Linked DNA regions of Callithrix jacchus. The protein of the gene in region 7 interacts with the protein of the main gene of each other region in a pairwise test. Links are inferred from orthologs where the notes say so. Each region holds a gene or a part of one and is shown on either strand. Other genes may lie near its edges.

What was found.
Region 1: the proteins of EXOC1 (region 7) and TRIM9 interact in a two-hybrid assay, tested with the Homo sapiens proteins (2 studies listed by BioGRID and IntAct). The link is inferred for Callithrix jacchus from reciprocal best matches to the Homo sapiens genes EXOC1 and TRIM9.
Region 2: the proteins of EXOC1 (region 7) and KIF5A interact in a two-hybrid assay, tested with the Homo sapiens proteins (2 studies listed by BioGRID and IntAct). The link is inferred for Callithrix jacchus from reciprocal best matches to the Homo sapiens genes EXOC1 and KIF5A.
Region 3: the proteins of EXOC1 (region 7) and GOLGA4 interact in binary tests that used the Homo sapiens proteins (3 or more experiments, as listed by UniProt). The link is inferred for Callithrix jacchus from reciprocal best matches to the Homo sapiens genes EXOC1 and GOLGA4.
Region 4: the proteins of EXOC1 (region 7) and SYBU interact in a two-hybrid assay, tested with the Homo sapiens proteins (2 studies listed by BioGRID and IntAct). The link is inferred for Callithrix jacchus from reciprocal best matches to the Homo sapiens genes EXOC1 and SYBU.
Region 5: the proteins of EXOC1 (region 7) and CEP295 interact in a two-hybrid assay, tested with the Homo sapiens proteins (2 studies listed by BioGRID and IntAct). The link is inferred for Callithrix jacchus from reciprocal best matches to the Homo sapiens genes EXOC1 and CEP295.
Region 6: the proteins of EXOC1 (region 7) and CCSER2 interact in a two-hybrid assay, tested with the Homo sapiens proteins (2 studies listed by BioGRID and IntAct). The link is inferred for Callithrix jacchus from reciprocal best matches to the Homo sapiens genes EXOC1 and CCSER2.

What each region holds. Positions count from the first base shown.
Region 1 is NC_133509.1:85,561,327-85,565,613, reverse strand, and holds part of TRIM9 (E3 ubiquitin-protein ligase TRIM9), read left to right. Parts: intron 1-2,435; coding exon 2,436-2,477; intron 2,478-2,895; coding exon 2,896-2,919; intron 2,920-3,759; coding exon 3,760-4,063; intron 4,064-4,287. UniProt on the Homo sapiens protein: E3 ubiquitin-protein ligase which ubiquitinates itself in cooperation with an E2 enzyme UBE2D2/UBC4 and serves as a targeting signal for proteasomal degradation.
Region 2 is NC_133510.1:62,128,765-62,133,051, forward strand, and holds part of KIF5A (kinesin heavy chain), read right to left. Parts: intron 3,660-4,287; coding exon 3,572-3,659; intron 3,291-3,571; coding exon 3,166-3,290; intron 2,097-3,165; coding exon 1,992-2,096; intron 1,804-1,991; coding exon 1,655-1,803; intron 1,524-1,654; coding exon 1,375-1,523; intron 1,057-1,374; coding exon 881-1,056; intron 1-880. UniProt on the Homo sapiens protein: Microtubule-dependent motor required for slow axonal transport of neurofilament proteins (NFH, NFM and NFL). Can induce formation of neurite-like membrane protrusions in non-neuronal cells in a ZFYVE27-dependent manner.
Region 3 is NC_133518.1:75,102,046-75,107,132, forward strand, and holds the start of GOLGA4 (golgin subfamily A member 4), read left to right. Parts: upstream 1-1,683; 5' UTR 1,684-1,959; coding exon 1,960-2,031; intron 2,032-2,142; exon of another isoform or gene 2,143-2,331; intron 2,332-5,087. UniProt on the Homo sapiens protein: Involved in vesicular trafficking at the Golgi apparatus level. May play a role in delivery of transport vesicles containing GPI-linked proteins from the trans-Golgi network through its interaction with MACF1. Involved in endosome-to-Golgi trafficking.
Region 4 is NC_133517.1:87,414,132-87,418,418, forward strand, and holds part of SYBU (syntabulin), read left to right. Parts: intron 1-115; coding exon 116-226; intron 227-1,302; exon of another isoform or gene 1,303-1,400; coding exon 1,401-1,481; intron 1,482-3,213; coding exon 3,214-3,418; intron 3,419-4,287. UniProt on the Homo sapiens protein: Part of a kinesin motor-adapter complex that is critical for the anterograde axonal transport of active zone components and contributes to activity-dependent presynaptic assembly during neuronal development.
Region 5 is NC_133511.1:46,665,715-46,670,001, reverse strand, and holds part of CEP295 (centrosomal protein of 295 kDa), read left to right. Parts: intron 1-896; coding exon 897-989; intron 990-1,143; coding exon 1,144-1,247; intron 1,248-4,287. UniProt on the Homo sapiens protein: Centriole-enriched microtubule-binding protein involved in centriole biogenesis.
Region 6 is NC_133513.1:45,819,147-45,823,433, reverse strand, and holds part of CCSER2 (serine-rich coiled-coil domain-containing protein 2), read left to right. Parts: intron 1-3,158; 5' UTR 3,159-3,197; coding exon 3,198-4,287. UniProt on the Homo sapiens protein: Microtubule-binding protein which might play a role in microtubule bundling.
Region 7 is NC_133504.1:140,888,172-140,892,458, reverse strand, and holds part of EXOC1 (exocyst complex component 1), read left to right. Parts: intron 1-658; coding exon 659-886; intron 887-1,077; coding exon 1,078-1,210; intron 1,211-1,846; coding exon 1,847-1,956; intron 1,957-2,762; coding exon 2,763-2,816; intron 2,817-4,287.

The DNA.
Region 1 (4,287 bases), on a different chromosome or scaffold from region 7:
GCCTGCTTCCGGTATGAGGAGCATCTGGATGGTGGAGCTTTGTGGTGTTCTTGTTTGTGTGGTGTAAGGAGCAACCATGGAGCTATGGTCTTTGTATAACAGCATCAGAAAGTGATGAGTGAAGTTATTCTTTTTGCACAAGCTGGACCACCATGGATAACCCGCTCTGTCATCACATGCAGTGGCACAGCACGGCACAGGCTCTGGCTGAGTGGAGGCCGTGGCAGCAATGTGGAGGTTTGCAGCCCTTCTGTATCCAGGAAACCAGCTGTGTCTGGGAGACTGGATCAGTGCATCCAGCCTGGAGTGGTCTGATTAAACATAGACTCAAGAGATCTTTATTGACAAAGTAAAACAAAAGTAAAAACACACCAACATTTTATTGACAAAGTAAAATAAAAGTAAAAACACACCAATAGCAGAAAGCATTCTACAAAGCGGGCGATCCAGAAAGCAGAAAGTGAAAGCGTTTTCTGCAAAAGCCTGTTCTCACTGCTAGGCCAGTGGGGCTCATGGCTGAGTGTTCTCCTAGCAACGGGGTGGGACCACTGCTAGCTGAATTCGAAACCTTCAGCTGCTAATGCCTAGTGACCAAAGATCTGAGTAATCAAAGTCTGCCCTCCTCAAAGTTTCCCACAGCCAAGCCGGTTGTGACAGAGCCTACAGCTGATTTCAGCGAAGCTAGACTTGTGTTCCTTTGTAGTGAACACTGCCTAGCAAATAGAATCTTAAAATATCTAAGATGCAGACCTATTTGATCTCTTCAGGACTATATTGTAATCGTGGATACACATGATGCACATTTCACATTTCCAAAGGTTTCTTTTGCTTTTTATTTTGTTCTTTTTGCTCATCCCACATTCTGGAATGAAGAAGGCCACAGCATGACAGTGCAAAAAGGATGCAGGGACTTCAAGCTCTCTTTAAAATGACATTTTTCTTTGTGCTTTTATGTTTCTTATTGTTTTTCTGTGCACTATGGCTTCCCAACATGCTTTGTTATGAAACTCTTTTCCCTTGTGTCTAATGTACTGAAATATTGTTACAGTCTTTGTAATGTATATTGTCTCAAGAATAAAAATGAAATGTGAGTTTTGGGATATTTGATGGGTGTACTTAAGAGCATTACTCTAGTTGTATTGTTGAATCTTAAATGTATGATGATGTATTTGAAGTAGTGTAAAAAGATTTCAGAATATTTGTTTTGCAAAAGAGTTGCACAAGGCATGATTCATTGAAAAGTCTTTAAAGCCCTGTTCAGATTCTACAAACTTATTTCCAAAGCTGAATATGAGAGTCAGTTTTAAAACTCTGGGTGTCCCATACTCACTATGCTCTAACACATGAATAGGAATTAAAGTGATAATTGATAGAAACTAAACATAAAAATCAGCCATGAACTGGGAGAAAATGATTCTTTTGCATGCGAATTCATCCCAGCGTAAAACAAACTAACCAAAAGTAAGATCATAATTTTTATATTTTGTTTTTAACTCAGTCATTAGTCCTTGTTTATAGTAAATTGCTTTAATTCTTGTGAAATCTTTTAAGTCCGCACATTATCCTCCAAATGTTTTAGGAATTAGCATATAAAGGCCTTACTAAATAGAAAACAAATTAAATGATCCTTTCTTTATCCCCCAGTGCTCATCAAACCCACATTTTCTAGATCAGTCCCTGACACCACTGGAAATTGTAGGTCACGCACCTTTGAACATTTTAAGACTAGACAGTCTTCCTCCACTCCAGTGTAGTTTCTCATGAGGTATAGGTATCCAAATCTTAGGGAATGCAAACAGTTGAAAAAGTTTCACAGGCGATTCCAGTATATCTCTGAGACCACACCCACTCCTACCAGCCCTCCTCCTCCCTCAGGTGAGGAGGATCTCTCCTAAGAAGGAGAGGAGGCGATTTTAACACATTCGCCATGTTATTATTAATAATTATCAGATGCATTACATTACACATTTAGTTAGAGATGTATTATTTAATTTGGGCTCAAGTCACAATGAAGACCTTTTGGCAAAACCAGACTCCGAAGTGCATAGAATAGTGAGATAGAGCAGAGTTTTATCAAAATCCAGTGACTTCTCCATTTCAATTAAGTACATTTTCCTCATTTTTACAGGAGCTCGCCTTCTTTCTGTAGAAACTTTAGAGGAAAAGATTGAGCTCGGAAGATGAAAAATTCAGCTACAGAGTTTAGGATCAATTGGGAGATGATTTATTAATGGTAAAAGGACGTACTTTTCATTTTCAAAGAGCAGAAAGGCAGTTTTTCACCCAGCAAAGTAAACTAATATAAAAAGGGCTTTGTTTTTTCATGGATCAGGCCTCTGGTATCAGTATTCAGCTGGTGCTTTTTAAGTGTATATACAAGTAATTTTTATCAACCTGATTGTTTCATAGTGTTGATGTGTAGTATCTCTTTATAGGATGCAATTTTGAGACACAATCTGCACCTTACTCTCAATTAGGCAAGTATACTTATTGTAATTGTTATCTTTTACTTACGTGATTGATGTGCTCAATTTTTTTCACAAAATAAATGGCAGCAGCTTGTCTTATGTCAATAAAATTGTCTAATTGTCATTCTAACCCTATTATAGCAGTTTCTCAAACTCTTAAAAAAATGGAAAAGATGCCTGTAGTTTTCAGTGTTATGCCTTAAAGCTTACTTTCCCCCCAGTTTTCTTATACATCAATGCAAAGCACTCTTTATGAGCACTAAATGTGGGTAAAGGTACAGGTCAGAGAGCTCCTGTTTAGTATATGTGGCATTTTAAATTGAGTCCTTTTGGGGACTAGTCTATCAAAGAGAGACACGTTTTCTTATCCATGTCAATTTTGCTTCCTATCTCTCTCCCCCATGCCTTTCACTTGGAATGACAACAGTTGACATTAAAAAGCTCTTGGCAGGTATGGAATAACCTTATTCTCTTACCTAATAGCAAAGACCAAAGTGCATGTGAGGTGTCTCACAGGTTCAATAAATCAGCAATTACATCTTTTGAGTGTGATATTTATAGGTGGCATTTAGAACTTGGGGCGTAACAATGTGTACAAACACATCATTCTATCTGCACCTACTGTCCAAAATACCTACTGCTCCAGCAAAATTTCTGACGTGTTAGTTTCAGGAGTAGCATGCAAACTGTGTTTTTCTTAAGTTATGCAGACAGCAACCTGTCCAACATCCAAGTCACAATCACTCATGAAAATTCGTTTATGTTGCTTATAGCTTCGCAGCTTGTGAGCTTTCACTAGAGCTGAGGAAAACTTCAAAGCGACTAGATGTTAGCACTTCTGCCAAAGGGATATTTCCTGATTTCACTCCATGTGTTTTATCCCTCCTCCATCTAGGACTCTAGCTCCTAGCCTCCCCGCCTAAGGGGTTACACAGGCATCTTAGCGCATCCCCTCTCCCTTTATGTCTCTGGTGCACTGTTCAGCCAGTCACCAGGTGAAGGGACTTGCACCTTCCAAAATCGATGCCACTTCACTCCCGGATCACCTGGTTGGGAGTGCAGTCTGAGCCAGGTAACCCCTGCTGAATCGGTCGTGTGTCCTCCGTCTGCTTCTGGTGCAGAGAGTACCAACTCCCAGGACATGCCCCTGTCTGCCTTGGTCCTGGACGCCTCCTTCCTGCATGGCAGCATGAAAACGCTACACAACGCTCCTCACCCGCCCAGGAGTATGTTATGGTGCTGAGCTTGTTGGGTCTGTCTTAATAACCTGATTCCCTTCTGTTGTTCCCAGTGGCCTGGTTTGCTTTCGATCCTGGCTCGGCGCACTCAGACATCATCCTCTCCAATGACAACCTGACAGTGACCTGCAGTAGCTATGACGACCGGGTGGTGCTAGGGAAGACTGGCTTCTCCAAGGGAGTCCACTACTGGGAGCTAACGGTAGATCGCTATGACAACCACCCTGATCCTGCCTTTGGCGTGGCTCGCATGGACGTGATGAAGGATGTGATGTTAGGAAAGGACGACAAAGCTTGGGCAATGTATGTGGACAATAACCGGAGCTGGTTCATGCACAACAACTCGCACACCAACAGGTACCCTGCAGCCCCCAAACCAAGCCTTCTTCACGTTGGCTGCTGATCAGGAGTGAGAGCCCTATTTCAAAAACCTATTACCTAGACCATAGTAAGGAAGTCAGGTGGTCTACATTAAGTGGCACAGACACTCTGTGAGCCTCAGCTGAGTCGACGCTGGTGGTTTACTTTTTGTATGATAGAGACTTGAATGCTTTCCTGCTCCCTTCATTGCTGTATTACAC
Region 2 (4,287 bases), on a different chromosome or scaffold from region 7:
TGCTGAATGAAAAAAATCAGATGCGAAATTACATATACAGGTCAGGTGCAGTGGCTCACACCTGTAATCCCAGCACTTTGGAGGAGGGCCAAGGCGGACGGATCACTGGAGTTCAGGAGTTTGAGACTAGTATGGCCAACATGGCGAAACCCCGTATCTACTGAAAATAAAAAGTTTATCCGGGCATGGTGGCATGTGCCTGTAATCCCAGCTATCTGGAGGCTGAGGCAGGAGAATCACTTAAACCTGAGAGACAGGCTGTGCATGGTGGCTCATGCCTGTAATCCCAGCACTTTGGGAGGCAGAGGCAGGTAGATCACCTGAGGTGGGTAGTTCAAGACCAGCCTGACCAACACGGAGAAACCCTGTCTCTACTCAAAAATACAAAATAAGCTGGGTGTGGTGGCACATGCCTATAATCCCAGCTACTCTGGAGGCTGAGGCAGGAGAATCACTTGAACCTAGAAGGCAGAGGTTGCAGTGAGCCGAGATAATGCCATTGCACCCCACCCTGGGTAACAAGAGTGAAACTCTGTCTCATTGGGGAAAAAAAACCTGAGAGAGGTTGCAGTGAGCCATGATCATGCCACTGCACTCCAGATGGACAACAGAGCAAGACTCTGTCTCAAAAAAAACCATTACATATACAGTATATCTCAATTGCATTGTATACGCACAGAGAAAAGCAAAATGTTAAGTATTATCTCTGAATAGTGGATGATTTCAATTTTCTTCTACGTATTTTATTGATTTTTCCACATTTCAATCATAAGCAGTTATCCCCTTTTAAAACCAGAAAACGGCAATAGAAGCGATTTTCTTTGATCCTCTACCTCTCATCCCACCTGGCCGCCTCCGTGCTCTGCCTGGCCGCCCTCACCTTGTCATCGAGCTGCTTATAGAGGCGGCGGATCTCCTCCTCATATTTCTGCCGCTCCTCGGGTGCGATTCGCACCACAATGGATGAATTGTCATTCACAGGGGTCTCCTCACAGAGCTCAGCCCCCAGGGCTGCCTCCTCCCCAGCCAGGCGCTCCGTCTCGGGCACATTCTCTCCTGCAAAGGGGCAGGATAAGGTGAGGAATGGGAGAAAAATAGGTTGCATCCACGAGTTCTTCCTTCTCACTCTTCATACCAAGACCTCTGGGGCCCTTGAACTCTCTTGCCAGGTGGACCTTCTACCTTTTGCAGGGCTGGGGAGGTAGGTAGTCAGCCCCCTCACTCCCTTTCCTCATGACTGCTCTACTACACCTCTCCAGAAATGCAGCCCCGCTTCTTGGAGATTGGCTTGGCCAGAAACGTCACCCAGAGTTGGCTCCCCAGCCTTCTCCTCCTCCTCCCACCACCCCTCACTCCCACTGATCCCTCTCTAACCATTGCGCCACCGGCTCAGCTCTGCCTCCAGCTTCGCGATCGTCTCCTTCTGGGCCTTTGTCTTCTCCTTTTCCTTCTCATATTTCTTCTTCCACTGCTCAGCAGTCAACTCCAGATTCACTGAGGCGGTGTTCTTAATGGTCTTTGCACTGGGTGAGAATAAGAGGAACAAAGAGATGAGACCTACATTAGACTTGGGTGACCCTGAGGAGAGAGAACCACAGGGGCTGGGATGGCAAGTTGGGTACCAGGGATCCCTCATGGGGACCCTGCCACTGACCGCTGCCCAAACATCAGCGTGGACTTGGTCTCTGCATCATTGTAACTGGACGGCGAGCAACAGATGAACATAGTCGTCCGGCAGTTTCCCCCCAGAGAGTCCTGGAGAATCCTTGTCATTTTGCTGTCACGATATGGAACATAGCTTTTCTGCGGGAGGAAGGAGACCATGAATCAGAAATAAACTAATACAATTCAACAGGGAATCAGAAAGTGCAGTGGTGCTACCCAGGGATCAAGTGACCCATGAATTGGGGCATGATTATATGGTGGCATTAGCAGGCGGGGGAGGAGACGGGGTGGGGCTTGAGGGGTGAGGGGACCTAAGGATCACTCACAGTGCCCTCAGCCAGTGCAGAGATCACATTCCCCAGGGCTGACAGTGACTTGTTGATATTCTTTGCCTCGTCCAGCACAGCTCCCTCTGCTCCAGTCTTGCTGACCTACCAGGGCAATAAGAGATGACTATATATGAGTAGCTACACATGGAGAGGGCTGTCACCATCTCATTCCAGGGCTCAGTCCAAGGAGAAAGGAGGGAACAGGGAAGAAGACAGAGTAAAAGAGATGCTTGGCTGGGATTGGGGAAGGCGCTTGCTCTGTTCCCCTCAACTCTCCTGTCCAAGCCCACCTTGCCTTCACCTCTTGCCACATATTATATGATTTCATTTATATGAAATGTTCAGTATAGGCAAAACCATAGAGACAGAGAGTAGATTAGAGGTGGACAGGGGATGGGGTTAGGGGACAATGGAGAGTGACTGCGAATGGGTGATGACAGTGTTCTAGCATTGGGTAGCATGATGGTTGCACAACCTTGGGAACATACTACAAACCACTGAGTTGCCTTCGAAATGGTGAACTTTATGGTATGTGAATTATATCCCAATACAAATAATTTTTTAGTTCAAAAAAAGACTGTAGTCCCAGCTACTCGGGAGGCTGAGGCAGGAGAATTGCTTGAACCCAGGAGGCGGATGTTGCGGTGAGCTGAGATGGTGCCATTGTACTCCAGCCTGGGTAACAAGAGCAAAACTCTGTCTCAAAAAAAAAAAAAAAAAAAAAAGCCAAGGACCAGCCGGGATGTGAAACCCTGTTTCTACTAAAAATACAAAAAATTAGCCAGGTGTGGTGGCAGGTGGCTGTAATCCCAGCTACCTGGGAGACTGAGGAAAAGGTTGTGAGCTGAGATTGCGCCACTGCACTCCAGCCTGGGTGACAGAGCCAGACTCCATCTCAAAAAGAAGAAGAGCCAAGGTCCAGCTTGGCCAACATAGTGAAATCCCGTCTCTACTAAAAATACAAAAACTTAGCCAGGTGTGGTGGCGGGCACCTGTAATCCCAGCTACTTGGGAGACTGAGGCAGGAGAATCGCTTGAACCCAGGAGGCAAAGGTTGCAGTGAGCCGAGATGATGCCACTGCACTGCAGCCTGGGGACAGAGCAAGACTTTATCTCAAAAATATGAAAGAGCCAAGGCTTTCACCCACCCCATATCCACAGGACCCCTTACCTTCTCACTCCCTGCCAGGTCCACCAGATACAGCTTCCCACTGAGCTTCTGCTCCGTTTCCATGTTCTCCTGCTTGATGTTGATAAGGAAGATGCTGTGGCTCCGAGAGCTGTGTTCATTCATGTCTGCAGGAGCAAGGGAGAGACAGGACCTGCACCACCCTGCAGAAGTGAGGTCCTCAGCCCCTGGCTTCCACTGGACCCAGCCCCGCCCACCTGGAGAGAAGGTGCCCGCCAGGACTAGACCTACTGCCACATCTCCCAGGCAGCAGGATCCCTCAGACAAAGGGTCTTCTCTTCTGAGGGGCATAGTCTTTCCTGGCTCACTTTTGAGTCCCACCACCCCAGAGGACACAGAAGACGGGTAGATCCTCAGACTCGAGAGATCCCCTTGTATCCCCACTCACTGGTGACAGCCACATGACGATTTGATTTCCCTTCATCAATCACGTCAAGAATCTCCTCTGGGCTGGACACAAAGCGTTCAGTACAACCCTGTGGGGGACAAACAGACAGTGATCCATACACTTTGTTTTTAAGTTTGTATTTATTTTTATCTTATTTATTACCTTTTTGAAACAGTGTCGGCCGGGCACAGTGTCTCATGCCTGTAATCCCAGCACTTTGGGAGGCTGAGATTGGCGGATCACCTGAGGTCAGGAATTTGAGACCAGCCTGTCCAACATGGTGAAACCCCATCTCCACTAAAAATACAAAAATTAGCTGAGTCTAGTGGTGCATGCCTTTAATGCCAGCTGCTTGGGAAGCTGAGGCAGAAGAATCGCTTGAACCCAGGAGGTGGAGGCTGCAGTGAGCCAAGATCGTGCCATTGCACTCCAGCCTTGGCAACAGAGTGAGATTCCATCAAAAAAAAAAAAGGAAAGGAAAGGAAAAGAAACAATGTTGCTCTACTACCCAGACTGGAGTGCAGTGGCACTATCATGGCTCACTGCAACCTCGATTGAGCTCCTGGGCTCAAGCAATCCTCATGCCTCAGCCTCCTGAGTAGCTGGGTCTACAGGTGTGTGCCACTATGCCTGGCTAATTTTCTTTTTTAATTAAACAAGGGGCCAGGCACTGTGGCTCATGCCTGTAATCCCAGCAATTTGGGAGGCTGAGGCAG
Region 3 (5,087 bases), on a different chromosome or scaffold from region 7:
GCCATGGGCTGGTACCCATCTGTGGCCCAGGGGCTGGGGACCCCTTATATAAGGTGTTCACTAGGAGATATAAGAGGACTTAGCCCAGGTGTTAAGACAGTGTTCCAGACCGCACTCTGGCTCTAATACATTTAGTGATCAGAATATGGACTCTTGAGAGCAGGTTGCACCTATTGCTGGTAAACAAAATCTGCTAATATGTGAAGATCAGCATGTACTCTGTCAGGTTCTGCTGCTTGAGACCAATGGGTAAGCAGTTTGAGATGATACCAAAGGTATGGCATGCAGAAGTGTGATACAGCTGGCCTAGAGTTAGAACCTGTCATTTTATAAAGAGACAAAACTGTTTCCATTCTTCTCACAATGACTGCTGACCTTGGCTTCTGTAAACTGCTAAGTTTACTTTGCAAAATGCAAAGAGAGGTAAAGCTGCATACTTTCACTTATCTGTAACTGCCAGAATTGCTGGCCTCTGTTTACCGGTACTGACCCGAGTAAGCACCCCCAGATAATTCCATCCTGGCGCCAAGCAACTGAAAAAGTCTGTGGACCCCACACCTGTCCAAATAATGTATAAACTAATGTTTATCTTGACTTCTGTAAACCACTTATGTGGCAATCGGAATGACAAAAGTCCCCCGGCCCTTGGAAAGTCCGGAGCCCCCTCACCCTCGTCTCAGCCTAGGAGGTGACTGACAGCTTTCATTCCCATCTCCACTCCTCACCCCCACTCCCAAGGTGGTTTTGCGGGTATAAAAAGGTCTCGTCACCCTTCTTTCTCTGCCACGGGTTGGAGAGACGTCAGTCCTCCGTAGTTGCCGGCAATAAACCCTGCAATTTGGCATACTTTTGTCTTGGTGTTGACTTTCTGTGCTCGGTCCAATACAACAGAAGCAGGTTGCTGAAATGGACCGGAGGATTCACAGGCAGCTAAAGTTCAGGGTGTTGGATAAATGAGGCACATAAACATTAAAATCCTGTAGGATGATTGCAGGTGTTAGGAGTAAATTTGGAATCTTTAGGAATCTGTGCCTTCCACTAGGCTAGGAATTATTTTAACATCTCCAAGGCATGATAAAGGGTTTTGAATGAATTCGTTAAATATACGATTTCGGCGAAGTAAAGAGTAAGTCCAACCAGTTAAGGTCTTACAGTATTGGCGTAGAACATTTGGACCCCTGGCGCCTGGTATCAGGGACTTCCCCACGCTGAAGAGTTCGGGGAAGAGAAGCGGGCCCCTCTGGGGAGCAGCCACGTACACTAGGCACTGAAGACAGAATCCCAGCTACAGCTACTGAACAGAAGGGCACAGTCCATTAGGGCCCGCGTCAGGTTCTCTGGATCTCCCCTTCTCCCATCCGGACGCTCATCCCTGTGTTCTTCGCTGTGGGCCCGTCAGCCCTGCTGCCAGAGGCAGCATTCTCCCCGTCTGATTTCGCAGGGCCAAAGCCCAGGTGAGAGTCAGTGTGGTGTTGAGAGTAGCCCTCGCTCCGGTTCTGAGCAGCGAGGGCTGTCTCCGCACTCAGTGAAGTCAGGCAGCCGCGAACCTTGCGTCCTCCCGTGAGCGCGGGGCGACCGGCCGAGCGCGCATGTGCGGGCGCCGACATCGTGCTTGTGCCCTCCGGTGCTCCGTAGTTAGCCTTGGTGAGCTCCACGTAGGCCGCGCAGGCGCCCTTGGCACACAGTTCACCTGCTGCCGTTGTCGCCGCCGCCGCCGCTGCCGGGGCTGGATGGGGGTCCGAGGCCAGCCAGTGGCACCCGGAAGAAAGAGACGCGGCGGCGGCGACGCCGACACCCTCCGGACGAGTGTCCGGACTTGCCCGCGGGCTCAACGAGGAGGCGGCGAGGCCTGGCCCCCGCTGTCCCTGGTGTAGAGAAGTCGCTGTCGCTGCCGCGGCCGGGACTCCCAGGGCTCTCGCCCCTCAGGTCTCATTGACACTCAGGACCCTTCGCTGCGCCATGTTCAAGAAACTGAAGCAAAAGATCAGCGAGGAGCAGCAGCAGCTCCAGCAGGCACCGGCCCCTACTCAGGTACTATGGCCGCTGCTCTCCTCCGCTTGTTCCCGACACCCCTTGAACCGGCCCGGGACAAGAAAGGCGGGGAGAGTGGGGAGTTCTTCCGTGACCTTTGATCCCTAACCCGGGACTCTTCCCAAACTCCGGACCCAGAAGGAGTCCCGGTCGGCGCAGGTCGTCCGTAACTCCTGACCTGGATTTTTCCCATCACAAAACTCCATCCAGTACTGAGTGGATGGAGGTAGCTGGGTCCCTCGTGACATCCGATCTCTGCTACGAGTTTTCCCCTAAGGCCCGACTTCAGCCTGAGAATGTGTGAGGGACACCGAAATTGCATGATTTCTGATCTTTGTCTGCGCTTCTCCCACCCGAGACCCCACTCCGGGAATGAGGGCGGGGTGGGAAAACCCGGGTCCCTTGTGTGATAGTTGACCTCTGTTCGAGGTGTCCTCCTCTCTGTTGCCCATTGTGAGATTTTGTGTGGAAGGGCCAGGATCCCGCACAAAGACTGACCCTTGAGGAAGTCTCCTAATTCCAAACCCAGGTCCTGGGATTGAAGGCTGGGGAGTAGAGCCATCCCGGGTCAGGCTGCTTGCAGGAGCGGTGGGACCTGAACGAGGTGGCAGCGTGGCCGGCGTCCAGCGCCGGAGGCTGTCACGAGTTAGTCACTTCGCATAACTTGGTTGATCCGGGACTGGCGGGCGGGGAGGCAGAAGACGCCCGGCCGGCCTTGTTCCTGTGCAGAACTCTGCTCTGCATTCCTTTTGAGTCTTGCTGCTCTGCTGCTGCTCTGAGAATAGGGTTACGCTTGATTTTCAGGAATGCCTTCGCCGCAGGAAATGCATTTCCAGGGAAAAGGAGGCGTGTTACTAGTGTTAATTTAAAGAAACAGTTTCCTACGCATTTACTGAAGTTGTTTCGATGCTGGCAGCACAGGGTCTCAACGGCGAAGATGAAGGTTTCCGTTTAATTTCTTCCCAGGCTTTTTGAGTCTCGACAGATTGAGCAGATCTGTTCCTTAATTTTAGGGTTTCTGGTCTTTTGCTTGCAGTTGCAAGAAAAGCGGAGTTTTGACTAATTTGGAGGCATTTCTGAATTCTTAACATTATCTTATAAACGACTGAATTTGGTTTATTCTGAAACTGTAAACTAAAGTTGTTCTTTTTAAATCTAAAGCTTATGTGTAGTGAGACAGTGCTTGAGAAAAAATCAGAATACGACACCGAAGTCTTGCCTCTTTTCTCAAGTGTGAATGGTGATTAAAATCTAAGTAGTAAAGATTGTACTTTTCATACCATTTACTGCAGTCTTTTAAAATTTTACAAAACACTATTAAGAAACAAAGATAAACTTTAAACGTAGGTAGAGAGTGAGGTAGAGATGAGGAGTGTGAGGAAATGGGCATTTTAGTCAATGTAAGGCCCTTCCATTTGGGAATGTATTAAATACAATTGAGCCAGGATTCTATTTCTAGAAATTTATTCTAAGAAAATTTAGGATGTGATAAAGATTTAGCTCTATGGATTTTAATGTCAATGTTGTTTTAATGGGTTAAAAAGTAGCCAAAAAGGCTGGGCCTGGGGGTGGGAGGTGGGGGGAGTGGGGGGTCACACCTGTAATCCCAGCACTTTGGGGGACTGAGGTGGGTGGATCACTAGGTCAAGAGATTGAGACCATCCTGGTCAACATGATGAAACCCCGTCTCTACTAAAAATACCAAAAATTAGCTGGGTGTGGTGGCATGTGCACTTGGGAGGCTGAGGCAAGATAATTGCTTAAACCTGGGAGGCAGAGGTTGTGGTGAGCTGAGATGGTGCCATTGCACTCCAGCCTGGGCAACAAGAGCGAAACTCAGTCTCCAAACAAAACAAAACAAAACCTAGCTAAAAATCCAACTAGAGTATTGATTAAATAAACTTTATCCGGCAATTAGGTATGCTTGATAGGTTATTATGCAGCCATAAAAAAATCAACATTTACTGGATCCTTTAGTATGTACCAGACATTTTGCTTTGTATTTTACAGATTATTTTATTTAATCTCACATAAACCTGTGAGGTAGATAATTACAGTATTATGTAGATGAAGGAGCGAGTCTTAAGGAGGTGAAGTAACTTGTTTGTTGTTACACAGCTAGTGTCAGAGCCTTCAAAAAAGTATTAGCACAGAAAGATATTCGTGTTAAAAGACAGAAGCAGCAATTAAATGTGATCCCAGTTTTGTGAAAAATAATCTGTAAGTGAGTGTCTTTATATACACACATAATAAAACTAGTTTAAGAAGGGTATACTTTAAGGTGTTGCTGAATTATTGAGTGTGCTTTTTCTTTTTTGTAATGTTTAGCTTTTCTTCATGAAAATGAATTGCTTTTGTTCATTAACAAAGAGGTTGTTTTTAGTAATAATAGTAAAGCTAGTCACAAGCTAAGATACAAGAGCTCTGTTTCTATAGCTTAATGCTTCTGGTGAGACAGGGCATCTAGATCAAATAAAAACACTTTGTGTACAAAAGGTTTAAAATAATCCTTTTGAATTGTATGTATATTTACCGTGTTGGCCAGGCTGGTCTCGAACTCCTGACCTCGGGTGATCCACCCACCTCAGCCTCCCAAAATGCTGGGATTACAGTTATGAGCCACTGTGCCCAGCCATTTGCGGTCTACTTTTGATAATTATTTTGTAAACTTTCTTACTGCCTGCCATATACCTGGCAGTGACTTAACAACAGTGCTGTGGCGAGTATTCAATGGCTATGTCCCTGCTGTGACTAATCCATAGGTGTGGCAGGGAGAAAGAGTGACATGAACCAGATGTTATTATGAACAGTGAATGCCTGCAAGCTCCTTGCCGCATGTTGCATTTGCTTCGAAGGGTCTATGTAGTCACTGCGTAATGGAGTTGAGAGTTAAGTGCTTCCAGTAGTGTGTTGGTGGTATGTACAGCGTGTTGTGGTTGTGCAAAGTAAGGCATTTCTAGAGAAGGTCAGGGAGACATCTGAGTAGAGTCTTGATGCGGAATGGAAAGTCATGGTACAGGAACTAGGGATTCAGGACTAATTCCTAAGGATGACTG
Region 4 (4,287 bases), on a different chromosome or scaffold from region 7:
AAGGCTCTTGGCCAGAGATGTACCCTATTCTAAGTCTGCTGTTGGACAGATTTTCAACCTTTCTTCAACAAATCTGTGTGCATCACAAATGCTTTTTATGCCTGTCATGTAAAAGGCATCGGCAAATATTGACCGGATCACCTGGACCAACTTAGCCGCCCTTTGGAAAATTCTGCTCTATCGGCTGTTTTGTTTTCCTCATCTAACCGTCACAGCTATCCTAGAGGTAGGTATCACTATTATCATCCCTCAATTTCACAAGGGTAAACTTGCAGTTCAGAAGAGTCAAGAACCGTAGGCGTAGGCCAGGCAGGCAAAGCCACCTGCATGTAATTCCGGCACTTTGAGAGGCCTAAACAGGAGGATCCCTTGATCCCAGGAGTTAGAGACTGCGGTGAGCCCTGATGACACCATTGTACTACAGCCTGGGCCACAGAGTCGGACCCGTCTCAACAACAACAACGAAAAACAAAAACCATCAAAAAACAACAAAAGCACAAAAAATATATAAAAATAAAGAAATAAATAAAATGAAAAACTTTAGGCATCTAGTCACTGAGGCTAAAGGGACTGATGGAGTGCTGGCTTGAACTCGTTTTTCTGAGTTCAACTGCAGTGCTCTTCCCTTAGCGGTGCGCCTGAGCTCCTTCCTGGCGCCGGGCAGCTGCCAGGCAGAGCTGGGGAAAAGGCTGTTCTCCCGCTACCTCGCAGCCTCGCTTCCCCAAGCCGGAGGGACTGAGCTGCCCACTGAAGGCCTTTCTGATGCAACCCCCACAAGTAGAATCCACCGCAGCCTTTGAGATCCCGGAACCCAGGCGCAGGCTGTGTCAGTCGTCCTGCCGCACTGGCTTGGCTGGGGTCCGGTAGGAGAGAGATCCCCGCTGCTCTCGGGCGAGGCAGTTGTGCAGAGCTGTAGGTTGACTTAAGCCCTGGAGGCCAAGGAGGGGTCGCCAGGGGAAAACTTTCTCTGTTTTGCCTCTGAGATGTCGCAGCTTTTCTCAGTTACTCCATCCAACGCCACCCTCTTCAAACCTGAGACCGAGGGTGGGGGCACCCCTGGGCTGGAGACGCCGCTAGCCACGGCCTGCTCACACCGGGCCGAGCTCCTTGGAGAGGGAGGGACATGCGGCCTTGTGGGGGCGGGCGGTGCCGTGGCCAAATCAGCGGGTGGGGCACGCCCAGGCGCGGTCGAGTTGCCCCGAGGGCCTCAGGTGAGGAAGGCGCCAGGGGAGCGGCCTCAGGCGACTGCGGCACCACGTGTCCGACCGGGGCGGGGCCGGGCGCGCCCTGGGAGCCTGGCGCAATCCGCGGCTCTGGCGGCGGCGGCGCGTTGGAGCCGCAGCAGCCGCCGCCCGCAGCCCGCGCCGGCTCAGCGCAGTCTCCTCACTCCGTGCTCGCAGGTGCCTCCTCCTGGACGGCGGCAGCGGCGGCGCAAGGAGCCGGCGGGCAGCGGCGCGATGGGGCCCCTCCGAGAGAGCAAGGTAAGGAGCCCGGGGCAGTGCGGGCGCTGAAGGGCGGGGAAGGCGGGCGCTGCGGGGCGAGAAGCGGGCGGGATGAGAGCTGGAGGGGTGACGTTTAGGGTCCGGGGAAAGACAGGACAGGGGGAGGTGGGGTCCGGAGAAGGCAGGGGGCATTGCTTAGGTGTTGAGAGCCAGGAGATGGGGAGGCGGTACTGGAGGACTAGATTTTGGAGACTGACATGATTGGAGGGTTAATCCCATCTCCTGAAACTGGGAGTGTGTGGTGTAGCTTTCAGTTGATGTTCGGTGTGTGAGATGTGAATGAAAGGAATCTGATGCATTCGCGACTGGGAAATGAGGACTCGAGCGTGTCAGTGACCCCGCCTCGGTTCAGGGTCTGCGGTGTGCCCAGCAGAGGGGCTGGCGCGGTGGTACCTGCTGGGCGGCAGATGTGCAGGGCGAATCCGAGGCTGGGTGCGGCTGGCGGCCCCTGGGTACAGTGGTTGCCTGAGGGCCCTCTGAAGTTCCCTATCGCTGGGGTTTACCCTTCAATTCCTGCCATGTGCCGGCCTCCCAGAGGTGTTTATTTTGGCCGTGACCCTTCCTGGTTAAGTCTGAGGAAAGGAACAGTAGGTCATGTTTCGAAAGGGTGTTTGTTACCTAAGCCAAAGAGTCCCTTTTCAGTGACAGAGGTTGGAGGAAGCCGTGGAATTTTTTGCACAACGCTCCTCCTAGGAGTCCATTTTAATAAGGCAGGATGGTGGTGACCCTGCAAAGCACTGGATTGGAAGTTCGTTCTACTTCTGACATGGTGTACAGTCCTGCCTAAGCATCTCTACCCCATTTAGGCTGTTTCCTCACTGAAAATAGGGCCATTCATTTGTGTCCTCTCTATGTACCGTCTGGTGTGTAAAGATCAGATGAGAAAATGGTTGGGAAAGCACCTTGTAAGTTGCAAAACATTGTGAAAATATTACTGTTATGCATTTTTAAAACCAAGGCACGGCAGGGTATTGCATACTGAGTTTTCAAAGAGAGAGAAAAATCTCTTGTTATGGATGTCCTGTAAAGAAAACACAAACTAAAGATGATGTAAAAGGTGGAGCCATCTTCCCATCTATCAGATTTGTGTTTGCTTTTCTGTTGGCAACAAGCCTTGTGTACTAGGGTATTAATGAATAATTAAGATCCTGTCCAGAAGAGGAGGGATTTTAAAGATAATTTTGTGCAAGCTATCAGGAAATAACTGTTCCAGGTATAGGGTTCGACTTTGTGAGGAGACAAGAAAACAGTAGTCAGATAGTCACAGCTAATTTAGAGAAAGCAAAATGGAAGTCCGAAGGCTATCAAGTAAGAAGCCAGAGTGTGGTGTAATAAAGAGCCTTTGGGAGATGGAAGCTTGAATGTGATAGAAGAAGTCAGGGTGGGAAGGTGAGTCAGGACTGGCATAGGGAAGTAGGATGCCTTCCAGCTAGTGAGTAGAAGTCTGTAGTGTGTATATGTGGGGTGTGTGTGTGTGTGTGTGTGTGTGTGTATGCGCCACACAGATATGTGCTATTCAGTAGATTAGAAAGGTTAGCTCAGTAGAAGGGTTTTGAAGTTCATTCAGTAACTGAGATAAGCAGGGCTACTCTGTGAAGACTCAATACTCAGAAATGTGATTTCTTAGAAACTGATCCTTGAAGGAACCCACAGGAGTTCAGAGAGGGAAATGCCTTTCCTTTTGTTTTCTTTTTTGATGTTCAATTTTGAGAAGGAGCACAGAGTGCAGCACCATGACAAGGAGATTTCTCGAAGCCGAATTCCCCGGTTGATTCTTCGGCCCCATCTGCCCCAACAACAGCACAAAGTGTCCCCAGCCTCTGAGTCTCCTTTCTCTGAGGAAGAGAGCAGAGAGTTCAACCCCAGCAGCTCTGGGCGCTCAGCAAGGACCGTTAGCAGCAACAGCTTCTGCTCAGGTACAGTACCCTGGGGAAGCCACCAGAGGCATGAAGCATGTGCACTGCAGGTGCATTGTGAATGGGCCAGCACTGGGTCCCTTATAGCCTAGAATTACACTTCTACTATTAGGATGAATTGTAGAAGGTCATACATTTCTGGCTGTTGTGACCTACAAACACAGCATTTTCATATGGTTCAGTTTATTGGAACCTCACACCTGAATTTTCATGTTTTTCTAGCATATAATTTCGAATGTAAAATCTAACTGTTTGTTTCTATGAGGTTTTTTTTCATTTTTTAAATTATACTTTAAGTTCTGAAATACATGTGCAGAACGTGCAGGTTTGTTGTATAGGTATACACGTGCCATGGTGGTTTTGCCATACACATCAACCTGTCATCTACATTAGGTATTTCTCCTAATGTTGTCCCTCCCCTAGCCCCCCATCCCCTCACAGGCCCTGGTGGGTGATGTTCCCCTCCGTGTGTCCATATGTTCTCATTGTTCAGCTCCTACTTACGAGTGAGAACATGCGGTGTTTGGTTTTCTGTTCCTGTGTTAGTTTCCTGAGAATGATGGTTTCCAGCTTTATCCATGTAACTGCAAAGGAGATGAACCCATCCTTTTTTATGGCTGCATGGTTTTCCATAGCATATATGTGCCACATTTTCATTATCCAGTCTGGCATTTGGGTTGGTTCCAAGTCTTTACTATTGTGAATGGTGCTGCAATAAACATATGTGTGCATGTGTCTTTATAGTAGAATGATTTATTATAATCCTTTGGATATATACCCAGTCATGGGATTGCTGGGTCAAATGGTACTTCTGGTTCTAGATCCTTGAGGAATCACCACACTGTCTTCCACACTGGTTGAACTAATTT
Region 5 (4,287 bases), on a different chromosome or scaffold from region 7:
GCTTTATTCTCCCCCTTGCCTGACTATAGCCCATGCACACTGATCTTTCAGTTCCTTGAATGGGCCAAGGTTTGTTTCTTTATCCTTATGGGGAGTTTTGTACCTGTTGGTCTGTCTGGAAAGTCTCCTATACATCTTCACATAGTTAACCTGGCTGGTTCTTCTTTACCTTTCAGGTGTCTGCTTAAATGTAATTTCCTCAGAGAAATTTCATCTTGCCCAGCAAGTTATTATTTATTATACTCTATTGTATAACCCTTCACTTCTCTTGTATAGTACTTGTCACGATTTCTACTATTATAATTTTTTGGGGGATAATTATATGATGGTTCTGCTATCTATTCTGTAAGCCTCCTTGAAGCCTTTTCTCATTCACTGTGGTATCCCCAGTATGTACCACATAAGTAGGTGCCAAATGAATAAATAAGTGAACAGAAACGGCTGCTCCATGCAGAGTATCTGGCTACCCAAATATGATCAGAACAAATTGCTTTAACTTCCTTCTCTGCTCTGGTTTCACAAATTACTTTAAAAAAAAAAAATTCTAGCATCTAGATATATCAAAGATACGTTGACATTTCGTTAGCGTCTCTTTTAACTTTGATTCCTTGTTATTTTCACTCTTGTTATGCTTTTCCACTGTGTTTGAAACCTTATCAGCGTATCTTTTAAATCAGTTCTTCACGTTTTCACAATTTCAGTCTTTCATGTCGTATTATTAGGCTTGGGTTTAATGAGAAATATATTTGATCATCAGGAAGGTGACTGGATCTTAACTAAATGAGATATTCAGGTGGCCCTAGATTGAATTTGTTAATACCAGAATTTTGTTATTTTGCTTTGATTTAAGCTTGACAATGAGATATTCTTAATAACAGTGGTATTATCTATTACAGTTGTTGAAAGTGATACACTAACAATAGAGTCTGGACCACTTACTAGTGAGGATAAATCACTTTCGTGTGGTACAAACTCTGGAAAAGAACAAGGTATTTCTTTTTATCACATCCTCAAATTAAATTTGACTCCTCACATCATTTTTTTTTTTAATAAAATTACATGTGATATATTAAGAAAGGGCATTATAATGGTGTCATAATTCTAAATTATTTAAACTAATTTTTGTTTGGGGCATTCCCCTAGAAATAAAAGAGACTCTGCCTATCACAACTGTAGCTCAGAGTTCAGTTCTACTTCATCCTCAAGAAGAAGCAGCCAGGATTAGAAAGTCAGCAAGGCAGAAACAGGTAATTTGAATTTTTATTTTTAAAGATTTATTCCCCCCACCGCCCCACTCGGTACTATTATATAATTTCGTTTGACTAATGACATTTGTTTTAATGTCTGGCTACTTTTGATATAATGTTTTTGACATTGTCTTACACAGACATTCAGCTGATAGAATGCATGTTGTCTTTGCTCATACTACTCATTCAATCCTTTCTGTGTCTGCTTTATATTTTATATATTTGTATGTGTCTTACCTTCCCTATAAAACTTATTAGCTTTTAAAAAGCGGAAACTATCTTTAAAAGATTGAGTTTATCCTACATAGTTTCTGATACAATGCTTTGTACATAGTAAGTATACAATAAATGTTGAATTAACAAGTCCTTATCATAGTATTAGACACTCAGATGGGCTTTGTAATCCCACAAGTTTTTTTGAAAAATATATTTCAGAGGGGGAAAAAAAATGTTTTTTTTTTGAGACAGAGTTTCACTCTCGTTGCCCAGGCTGGAGTACAATGGCTTGATCTCGGCTCACTGCCCCCTCTACCTCCTGAGTTCAAGCAATACTCCTGCTTCAGCCTCCTGAGTAGCTGGGACTACAGGCGTGCACCACCACGCCCCACTAATTTTTGTATTTTTAGTAGAGATGGGGTTTCACCATGTTGACCAGGATGGTCTCAATCTCTTGACCTCGTGATCCACCCACCTCAGCCTCCCAAAGTGCTGGGATTATGGGCGTGAGCCACCGCGCCAGAGGAAAAATTTTTCATATACAACCCCCTGTTTTTGCTCTGTCGCCCAGGCTGGAGTACAGTGGCATGATCATGGCTCACTGCAGCCTTGACCTCTTCAGTTCAGTCCTCTGACCTCAGCCTCCTGAGTAGCTGGGACTACAGGCATGGGCCACCATATCCAGCTGTTTTTTTTTTTTTTTTTTCATAGTAGAGATGAGGTCTTACCATATTGCCCAAGCTAAACTTTAACCTCTTTAGGCCAGCCGTGGTAGCTCATGCTTGAAATTCTAGCACTTTGGGAGCCCGAGGTGGGCAGATCTCTGGAGCCGAGGAGTTTGAGACCAACCTGGCCAACATGGTGAAACCCGATCTCTACTAAAAATTAGGTGGGTAAGGTGATACACACCTGTAATCCCAGCCATCCTGGAGGCTAAGGTGGGAAGATTGCTTGAATCCAGGAGGCGAAGGTTGCAGTGAGTCAAGATCATGCCACTGCACTCCAGGCTGGGTGACAGAGTAAGACCCATCTGAAAAAAAAAAAAAAAATTCTCCTTAACTTACAATTTTGGTCTCATCTACTATTAATAAAAGATTTTTCAACCCAACTTACCTAAAAGGAGGCTAATTATTACTAAGCAAGTCAGGTTGTAGTCCTAGTTTGTTTTTTCAAAAATACAGCTGGGGAGTGAGAATTCCATGTGCCAGTATTTCTTCTCAGATAAATATTTTCTCAGGCTGGGCACGGTGGCTTATGCTTATAATCCCAGCACTTTGGGAGGTCTAGGTGGGTGGATCACCAGAAGTCAGGAGTTCAAGACCAGCCTGGCCAGCATGGCAAAACCCCGTCTCTACTAAAAATACAAAAATTAGCTGCACGTGGTGGTATGCGCCTATAATTCCAGCTACTCAGAAGGCTGAGGCATGAGAATCACTTGAATCCAGGAGGTGGAGGTTGCAGTGAGCCGAGGTTGCACCACTGTATTCCAGCCTAGGCGACAAGAGTAAAACTCATCTCAAAAAAAAGAAAAAATATTTTCTTATCAATAGTCTAGAACAATATTGTTCATTAGCACTTTCTATGATGATGGAAATGTTCTGTATCTATGTCTAGCATGTATCTATTAGCCACATAGGCTGTTGAATTCTTAAAATGTTAGTGTAACTGAGGAACTGAATTTTAAGTTTTATTTAATTTTAATTAAATTTAAGTAGTCACATACAGCTACTAACCACTGTATGGATAGTATGGTTCTAGATGTACTACAGAACTGTAAACAGTCTAAATTCAGGGCTTCCTATGAGTGAGGGAAAGTAAGGAAGAGGAAGACAGGAACTCAGTTGAAGCCACTGTTGCCTAATTAGGAATAGGCAAAGAATCTGGTCGAGACTTTGTTTTTATCTTGAAAAGAAGATCATTGTTCATTATCTCTAGTAGAAGTGCTATTCTTTATATAATAAAACTGAATGTGCATTCCTTTTTTTACTTAGTAAATATTTTATCTATCAAGGACTGTATAGTAGTCTCTGCTTATCCACAGGGTATATGTTCCTAGACCCCTAATGGATGCCTGATAGTACTGAACTGCAGATAGTATTGATTCCTGTATATAGTATGGGTGAAATTTTTTCCTTCTTTATAATTCCACTGATAGAAAATTTACTCTTCCCATAGATGTTAGCAATCAGTGTACAATTTTTTTTTTCTTTCCTTATTGAGAACTTTCAACTTTTCACTAAAAGGAAGCACTTTACAGCCTCTCTTTGATACATCTGAATTGCCAGTATTACTGCTCTTATGCTTTGGAGCCATAGTGAAGTAAAACAAGGGTTATTTGAACACGAGTACTGTGATGCTGCAACAGGCAAGTTTTTGTAACCAAGATGGCTACCAAGTAACAAGTGGCCTGATTGAGTTTATAGCATGATATGCTGGACAACGGGATTATTCTTGTTTCAACCGGACAGTGCAAGATTTAATTGCACTACTTAGAACAGTGCATAATTTAAAACTTATGAATTATTTCTGGAATTTTCCATTTAATATTTTCTGGCTGCTGTTGACCTGAGTAATTAAACCACAAAAGCTAAATTGCAGATAGGAAGGGACTAAGGTGGTAGATTTGGCAGGCTAGTTTTGTCCTCATGAAACTCATAGTTACTCAAACATGTTCATATTACTTAGAATGTAAGTATGCTTATATAATATTAGAGTTTGTGTTATCTTTCTGCTATTTTCTTCTGTTCCATGCCTGACAAAACAGACACAGAATGTTGTTCTTTGCTTCTAGATAACTATACCTCTTAATGGGTATAGCTAAGAA
Region 6 (4,287 bases), on a different chromosome or scaffold from region 7:
AGGCAGGAGAATCACTTGAACCCGCTAGATGGAGGTTGCAGTGAGCTGAGGTCATACCACAGCACTCCAGCCTGGGTGACAGAGTGAGACTCCATCTCAACAACAGCAACAACAACAAAATTTAAAAAATTTAGCTCAGTACAGTGGCTCATGCCTGTAATCCCAACACTTTGAGAAGCCAAGGTGGGAGGATTGCTTGAACCCAGGAATCCAAGACCAGCCTACACAATGTAGCAAGGCCCCCACCTCTATAAAAAAGTAAAAATGGTGGCATGCATCTGTAGTCCATCCTAGCTACTCAGAAGGCTGTGGTAGGAAGACCACTTGAGCCCAGGAGTTTGAGACTGTAGTGATCTGTGATTGCACCACTACATTCTACCTGGGTGAAAGAGCAAGACCATGCCTCTTAAAAAAACAAAATTAAAGACAATGTCATACACTACATTAAAAACATCAGTGACCCTAAGGCATTTTTAAATTTCCATTTTTCCCTTGTTTGTGTTTTTACAGAATTCTTATATAATTACAGTGAGCATATAGTCACCATATATTTTTGTTACTATTAGGGCAAAAAAATTTTTTTTTTGAGACGGAGTTTCGCTCTTGTTACCCAGGCTGGAGTACAATGGTGCGGTCTTGGCTCACCGCAACCTCCTCCTCCTGAGTTCAGGGAATTCTCCTGCCTCGTCCTCATGAGTAGCTGGGATTACAGGCACGCGCCACCATGCCCAGCTAATTTTTTGTATTTTTAGAAGAGACGGGGTTTCACCATGTTGACCAGGATGGTCTCAATCTCTTGACCTCCCAAAGTGCTGGGATTAATATTTCTAGCTCATCTTTATAATCTTATTACATGGTATGTCATAATTTATTAAAAAGTTACTCAAATAGAGGACAGTAATGGTTTCTAGTTTATGCTCTTTTGTGTGCATTGAACCTTTTTGTTTTTGTAGTTTTGTGTTATATTTAAAATAAATTCAAGTTGTGTACGGTGGCTCATGCCTCTAATCCCAGCACTTTGGGAGGCCCAGGTGGGTCTATTGCTTGAGGTTAGGAGTGCAAGACAAGCCTAGACAATATAGTGAAACTCTGTCTCTATGAATGTTTTTTTAAGTATTAGCTGGTTGTGATACTGTGTGCCTTTAGTCCCAGCTACTCGGGAGGCTAAGGTGTAAAGATCACTTGAGCCAGGTAGGTGGGGGCTGCAGTGAGCCGTGATCATGCCACTGCACTCCAGCCTGGGTGACAGAGGGAGACCTTGTCTCAAAAAATAAAATAAAATAAATTGTGTAAGATTAAGATTAATGTACAAATCAACTTTATTAAATTTTTGTACTTCTCACCCTGGCACTAACTGTAATGTGTATTTATATTACTGGATGGAAATTCTTTTGAGATAGTTGCCTAAAATGACAGCTTATTACTCAACACTTGATGCCAAAATAATTTTTTTGGTACTGTTATGTTCTTCATCTATATACTTCTGTGGCTTAAGTAATTAATGTTTTTCAGATGTCTTCCAGTTTTTATAAAATTATATACATTAAAAAAATATATGTTCTTTTAACTTTTATTTCACTGACTTTAAGGGAACAGGTGATTTTTGGTTGCATGAATGAATTGTATAGTGGTGAAGTTAGATTTCAGTGCACATGCCACCCAAACAGTGTACATTGTACCCTTCTACATTGTGTAGTTTTTAAAAAAATCTCTCATCTTCCTCCCACCATCCCTCCTTCTGAGTCTCCAGTGTCTATTATACCTCTCTGTATGCCTTTGCATAACCAGAGCTTAGCTCCCAACTATAAGTAAGAGCATATGGTATTTGGTTTTCCATTCCTGAATTACTTTACTTAGAATAATGACCTCTATCTCCATCCACGTTGCTTCAGAAGACATTATTTCATTCTTATTTATGGCTGAGTAATATTCCTTGGTGTATGTATACCACATTTTCTTAATGCACTCATCAGTTGATGGGTAATTAAGTTGGTTCTACATCTGGCAATTGTGAATTTTGCTGCAATAAGCATACATAATGCAGCTGTTTTTTAAATACAATTTTCGTTTGGGTAGATTCCCAGTAGTGAGATTGCTGGATCAAATGGTAAATTTACTTCTTTAGAAATCTTCATACTATTTCCCATAGAGGTGTTACTGATTTATATTTCCACCAGCAGTATATAAATGTTCCCTTTTCATCACATCTATGCCAATATCTATTGTTTTTGGACTTTTTAATAATAGCCGTTCTGGCTGGGATAAGGTGATATCTCATTGTGGTTTTAGGATTGTTTTGTCTAATTCAGTGAAAAATGATGTTGGTATTTTGATATAAATTGCATTGAATCTGTAGACTGCTTTTGGCAGCATGGTCATTTTCATGATATTGATTCCGCTAATGAATGAGTATGGGATGTATTACCATTTGTTTGCATTGTCTGATTTCTTTCAGAAGTGTTTTGCACTTCTCCTTGTAGAGATCTTTTACTTTCTTGGCTAAGTATATTCCTAGTTGGTTTTTTTTTTTTTTTTTTTTTTCAGCTATGGTCAAAGGGATTGAGTCTTGATCGTTAGTCCTTCTTTGTGTGCTACTGATTTGTGTACTTCGGCAACCTGTGACTTTACTGAATATATTTATCAAATCTAGGAATCTTTTGAAGGAGTCTGTAGGATTTTCTAGATATATAATCACGTCATTGGCAAACAGAGATAGTCCGACTTCCTCTTTCCCAATCTGAATGCCCTTTATTTCATTCTCTTGCCTGAGTGAACTGGCTATGGCTTTCCATATGTTCTTATTTTTAAAGGAGAGACTATTATCCAAAATGAAAAAATTACTTGGATTGGAAATTGGAAGAAGTACTCTGAGAGAATTACTTTTTATATCGTCAAATTTGGTAGTTTGATTTTATTATTTCTGGATTTTGTGGTCATGATTCATAGCATACGTTCATAAAAGTTAAAAAAAGTTCTTTATTTTCTTCCAACATAAAGTTATTAATTAGTACATTCATTATTTGCTAGGAGATCTATAGAAATCATGAGTAGCTTTTGGGCTTTTCTGCATATAAAAGTATAAGTATCATATTATGTAATAATTCAAGTAATTATCCTTATTTAGTAATGTTTAATGTACTTCTTTTTTCACTTCACAGATTCTGTCAAATTTTAAGAACAAATGCACCTTATAGCTCATGGAAGAAAAAACACAAATCAAGACATTTTTGGGTTCCAAGTTGCCAAAGTATGGATCAAAATCTGTAAGAAGTACATTGCAGCCAATGTCAAATGGGACTCCTGTTAATTTATTAGGAACTTCCAAGAATAGTAACATCAAAAGTTACATCAAAAATAATGGCTCTGATTGTTCATCATCTCATTCATTTAATTGGAGAAAAAATAAATACCAACTTTGTGCACAAGGTGCCGAAGAGCCTAACAATACTCAAAATTCACGTGATAAAATAATTGATCCTGAAAAACTTGTTCCTACTCAAGGAATGTTTGATAAAAATGGGGTAAAGGGAGGTTTGAAAAGTGTTTCATTATTCACGTCAAAGTTAGCAAAGCCATCCACTATGTTAGTGTCATCAACAGAGGAGTTAAACCAAAAGTCTTTTTCTGGACCATCTAATTTGGGTAAATTTACCAAAGGCACATTATTAGGAAGGACTTCATATTCTTCGGTCAATACTCCAAAATCACAGTTGAATGGATTTTATGGAAACCGGTCAGCTAGTAGCATGCAAAGGCCTAGAGCAAACTCCTGTGCCACCGGAAGCAGTTCTGGTGAAAGCTTAGCTCAGTCCCCAGACAGTAGTAAACCTATTAATTGTGAAAAAATGGTAAGGTCACAAAGTTTTTCACATTCCATTCAGAATTCATTCCTTCCACCTTCATCTATAACCAGATCACATTCCTTTAATAGAGCTGTGGATCTTACAAAGCCTTATCAAAACCAACAGCTATCCATTAGAGTGCCTCTACGGTCAAGTATCCTAACAAGAAATTCCCGGCAGTCGGAAGTACTCAATGGGAGTGAACATTTGGGGTATGGGTTTAATAGGCCTTATGCTGCTAGTGGAAAGAAGTTGGCTATACCAAATGGTCCAGGTGTAACTTCTACTTTAGGCTATAGAATGGTTCATCCCTCTCTACTGAAATCTAGCCGATCTCCATTGTCTGGGACTATCACAGTTGATGGAAATCAAAATTCACCTGCTGACACATATGTAGAAGAAGATGCTACAGTTTTGGCTGAGGACCGAGCTACTAATAAGGACC
Region 7 (4,287 bases):
AGAAAATAGTGATAAGGGGTGGTGGTTTGTTACTGCATTGCCTGGGGGGAGAAAACAGAGTGGCAAATGAAAGAGAAAAGATGATAGAAGGATCTGTTGGCCATATGCTCCTCTACATCCTATTACTAGTTCCCATCATACTACAGTTATAAGTTAGTTTCATATATTCTTCAGAGTCTGATGTACCACTGCTGCTTTCTCAACTAGCATATCATATAGGTGATTATGCTTTTATTTAGGGTTTCATATAGATGTTAAGAAAATTTCTAGCTGGTAAAATTGGAGGAAATGTTAGTGATAACATGGCCTAATGCCTCCAAAATGTATAGAAATGAGAATGTGCCATTACTGATGACATTCTGGCACCTTACTTGTACAGTCTGTGGAAATATAAAATCCTAAGGCATGGTTCCTAATATTGATATAGAAGCAAGTGTACCTGCATGAAATACTGTGTAAGACATGGAAGAACATAAAGTGATAAACTAAAGTAGATGTGTAGATACATATCAATTTTTGTTACTCCAATTTCAAGGAAATTTAGCAGCATTTCACCTGTATTCTTTTTTTACACATTTAGATAACATGACGTGTGGTTTATGTGGTTTTTTTTTATTTGTTTGTTTATTTGTTTGTTTTTTGGTCTTTAACTTTGTAGGCTAACATCCAGTCAATCATGGCATCTGAAAAACAAGTCAACATCCTGATGAAATTGCTAGATGAGGCTCTAAAGGAGGTAGATCAGATTGAATTGAAACTGAGCAGTTATGAGGAAATGCTCCAAAGTGTAAAAGAACAAATGGATCAGATCTCTGAAAGCAACCACCTTATTCATCTTAGTAACACTAATAATGTAAAACTCCTATCTGAGATAGAGTTCCTTGTGGTAAGTATGATTGTAAATTAACAACAACAAAAACTAGTGATGATATATAAAATCCAGTTGTAAATATTTTCTAATTTCCTTATGAGAGCAGGATTTAAAATAATTCCAAAGACCTAATGATAGGATTGAGTAGCATCTTGCCTGTAAATTTCCCAAAATTACACATGCAAATAGTGTGTTTGCATATCTAGAACCACATGGACTTGGCCAAAGGTCATATAAAGGCCCTTCAGGAAGGAGATCTTGCTTCCTCCAGAGGCATTGAGGCCTGCACCAATGCTGCTGATGCCCTTCTGCAGTGCATGAATGTAGCTCTTCGACCAGGTATGTTCATTAGAAAAGACAAAAATGTGACTAAGAATCTGAGACTAAGCCTGTCACTTGTTGTAAAGATTTTGACAAGAAATAATATGAGGCAAGTGGTTTAGGGTTACATTATTAGCTACTCAAGTTTCACTGATTTCCCAACTTATTTCTATTGACACTAGGAACTTTTTCACTTTAGCTCCTCCTAATTGACCATCAATGACTGTAGTTAACACAGTGATTTTTATTTAGTGCTGTCTACAGAACCAAGCACAAAGTAGGTGCAGTGGTTAGACCAGAGAGCATAAGGTTTTTCTAGGCAGTGGCTTCAAAACTTGAGTATCCATCAGAATCCCTAGAGGTCTTATTAAAACATAGATTACCTAGCCCCAACCCCAGATTCAGCAGATATGGACTGAGGTTTTAGAATCCACATTTCTGACCGTTCCCAGGTGATGGTGAGGGAGGACCACACTTTAAGAACCACTGTGCTATCCTGTTTTTCTCCTGTTTTAACTTTTATCATTTAAGTAAATGAATATACCCATAAAACTTTTGGGTTCTTCAAAACTTTGGAAATGTTTAATATTCCATTAAACATCGAGGAAATCTTTTTACCCATTAAACTGGTCACAAAATGTCATTCTGTATCAGGCCATGACATGCTTCTGGCAGTCAAACAGCAACAGCAGCGATTCAGTGATTTGAGAGAGCTTTTTGCCCGGAGACTGGCCAGTCACCTCAACAATGTATTTGTTCAGCAGGTAATTTTATCTTATTATTAACATGAGCATGTTCCTATATATTATTTATATATGACCTTAACCTTAAATTTCCACCTACATATTAATGTGTTTAATTGGGATTGCAGTCAATTCCTTCACATATTCAATTTTAAGATTTGGAAATAGATGCTTCTTTGCTCATAGATGTTCTTTGGGCCTCAGCTGCCTCTTTAGGTAGACAGTCTAGTTCCCTTCAGCTGAAGCTCTCTGATTGTAAAAATCAAATAACTATGCATATTAAATGCATATACTACTTAGACATTCTTATTTATAAAAGTAAGTCCAAACTTGTTAGATGTTTACTATTAGACCTGATTTATTTTTCAATATTTTGAGGTGAGACTCAGAACTTGAGTCAGTATTTTAAATGTGTTGTAAGATCCATGTACTTAGTACATAGTATACTTGTTAAGAAAATGACTATAGCTTAACTGTAAATTTCAGTTGATCTAATTGTCATATAAATGCTTTGCCTATATTTTTATATGGAAAACGATGTTATAATTAAGAGTGTAGTATTAATATTGTTATTAATAATATTAAGAGTATCTTTGAGGGATTTGACTAGAATCCCTCAAATAATAATATCTAATGTAATAAATTAGGTTTCTAATTTTTTTCATCTCTTTTAAAAGTCCTATTTTATTAGCATTATTGGGTGGAAAAAAATTGGGGGGATATCTTGTTCATCAAGAAATACAGTCTGAAAACATTAAATTTTTACTTTGTTTTCACTTTGCAATATTCTAAAACAATTGTATTTACTATATTTTATTTCCAATTAGTTTACTCAGGCCCTCCTTCAACTCTATAACAGGTCGTACTTTCTTTCGGTTCCTGTGAGTACATCAAATTTGGCTCAAGCTTCTCTGATTCTTTTTTTTTTTTCTATTAAGTTTGCTAAACTTAACAGCAGCAGAATCTTTACAGATTATAACTTACTGATTTAAGCTACCTGTTAACCCATATTTGTAGCAGTTTTAAGTGTCTCATAATAGAGACTATTCAGGCCAAAAAGGCATTTAATCTCATTCTGCTTGCTTTTCTTTCTGTCATTTTTTCACTCACTTCATATATTTAGTAATAAATAGTAGTATTACTCCTTTAGTAATAATAATAATATTACTCCTTCATTTTTAGTAGTCATTTATATGCTGGGTGATTGAGGTACATACCAGACATTGACTTGGGATAAATGAGAGACCAATCCTGCCCTCAAGTAGTTCACGGTCTAGGGAAGGGAGACATACAAATAATATACTCCAGAGGGATAAATGTTACGATAGTGGGACCGTGGGATCATAGAGGAAGGCCACTTAACTAAAAGCACGGTAGGGGGAAATCAGAGAGATTCCTTGACCTGAAAAATATCAAGAAAAAGTAAGCTTAGAAGTCACATAGGAAATACTGATTCCCGTTTTTCTTAGGTAATTACTTCAATAACATCTATTTCTATACAGTTCCTTAGTTTTTAAAAATGACACTGTTGACAATGATGTTATCCACATTTGTAGATAGTATTGAAAATAGCAGCCAATAAACAAGAGTTTTCTGTATCCCTGTTTGTTGTAACATGCATTTATGATTTTGCTTCTTGTCTTGTAAACTAATGGCTTCATTTAAAATGAATGCTTCCCATTTCTGAAAAGCTAATATATATTGTTACATGTGAGTGATGCATGTTAAAAACCAGAATGCTGTGACAACCTGAGATGTGCCGGAAAAGGTGGAAGAAGATACCCCACACATAAGAAAGAGATGTTCTTTGTGTTGCATTCAGTGCATCAGGTCACCTAGCAAAAGAGTTGGGAAACGTGGGTATTTCCACTCCTGGTAGGGGAACAAGCTGGGAAAATTGATTAAAATAATATGGTACACCTCTTTGTCAATCACAGAATTTTCATTGTGTATTTATTATGCACTGTCTTCCATATGTAAGAATAAGAAATAGTTTGTACCCTCAAGATGCTTGTAAGGAGTTAATATACTTACTCCTTGTAAGGAGTTAAGACTAATGTACATTAGCAATGTATATAATAAATTGCTAATTGTAGAACTGTGGATTTTAAGTGCTAAAAAGGTTTAATCGAAAGTAAGTTTATTGCGACTTTAAGGAGTCAGATAGGGAAGGAATCGAGGATAAGGTAGGACTTAAACTGAGTCCATGCAATACAGTTTATAGCAAATGAGTAGTTATTATAACATTTACAAATAATGTACTGAAGAATCCAGTGAAAATAATCTATCTACAACATAATTTCAAAGCCTTGATTCTCAGTCTTTTTAAAATTCACAAATTAGAAAAATTAA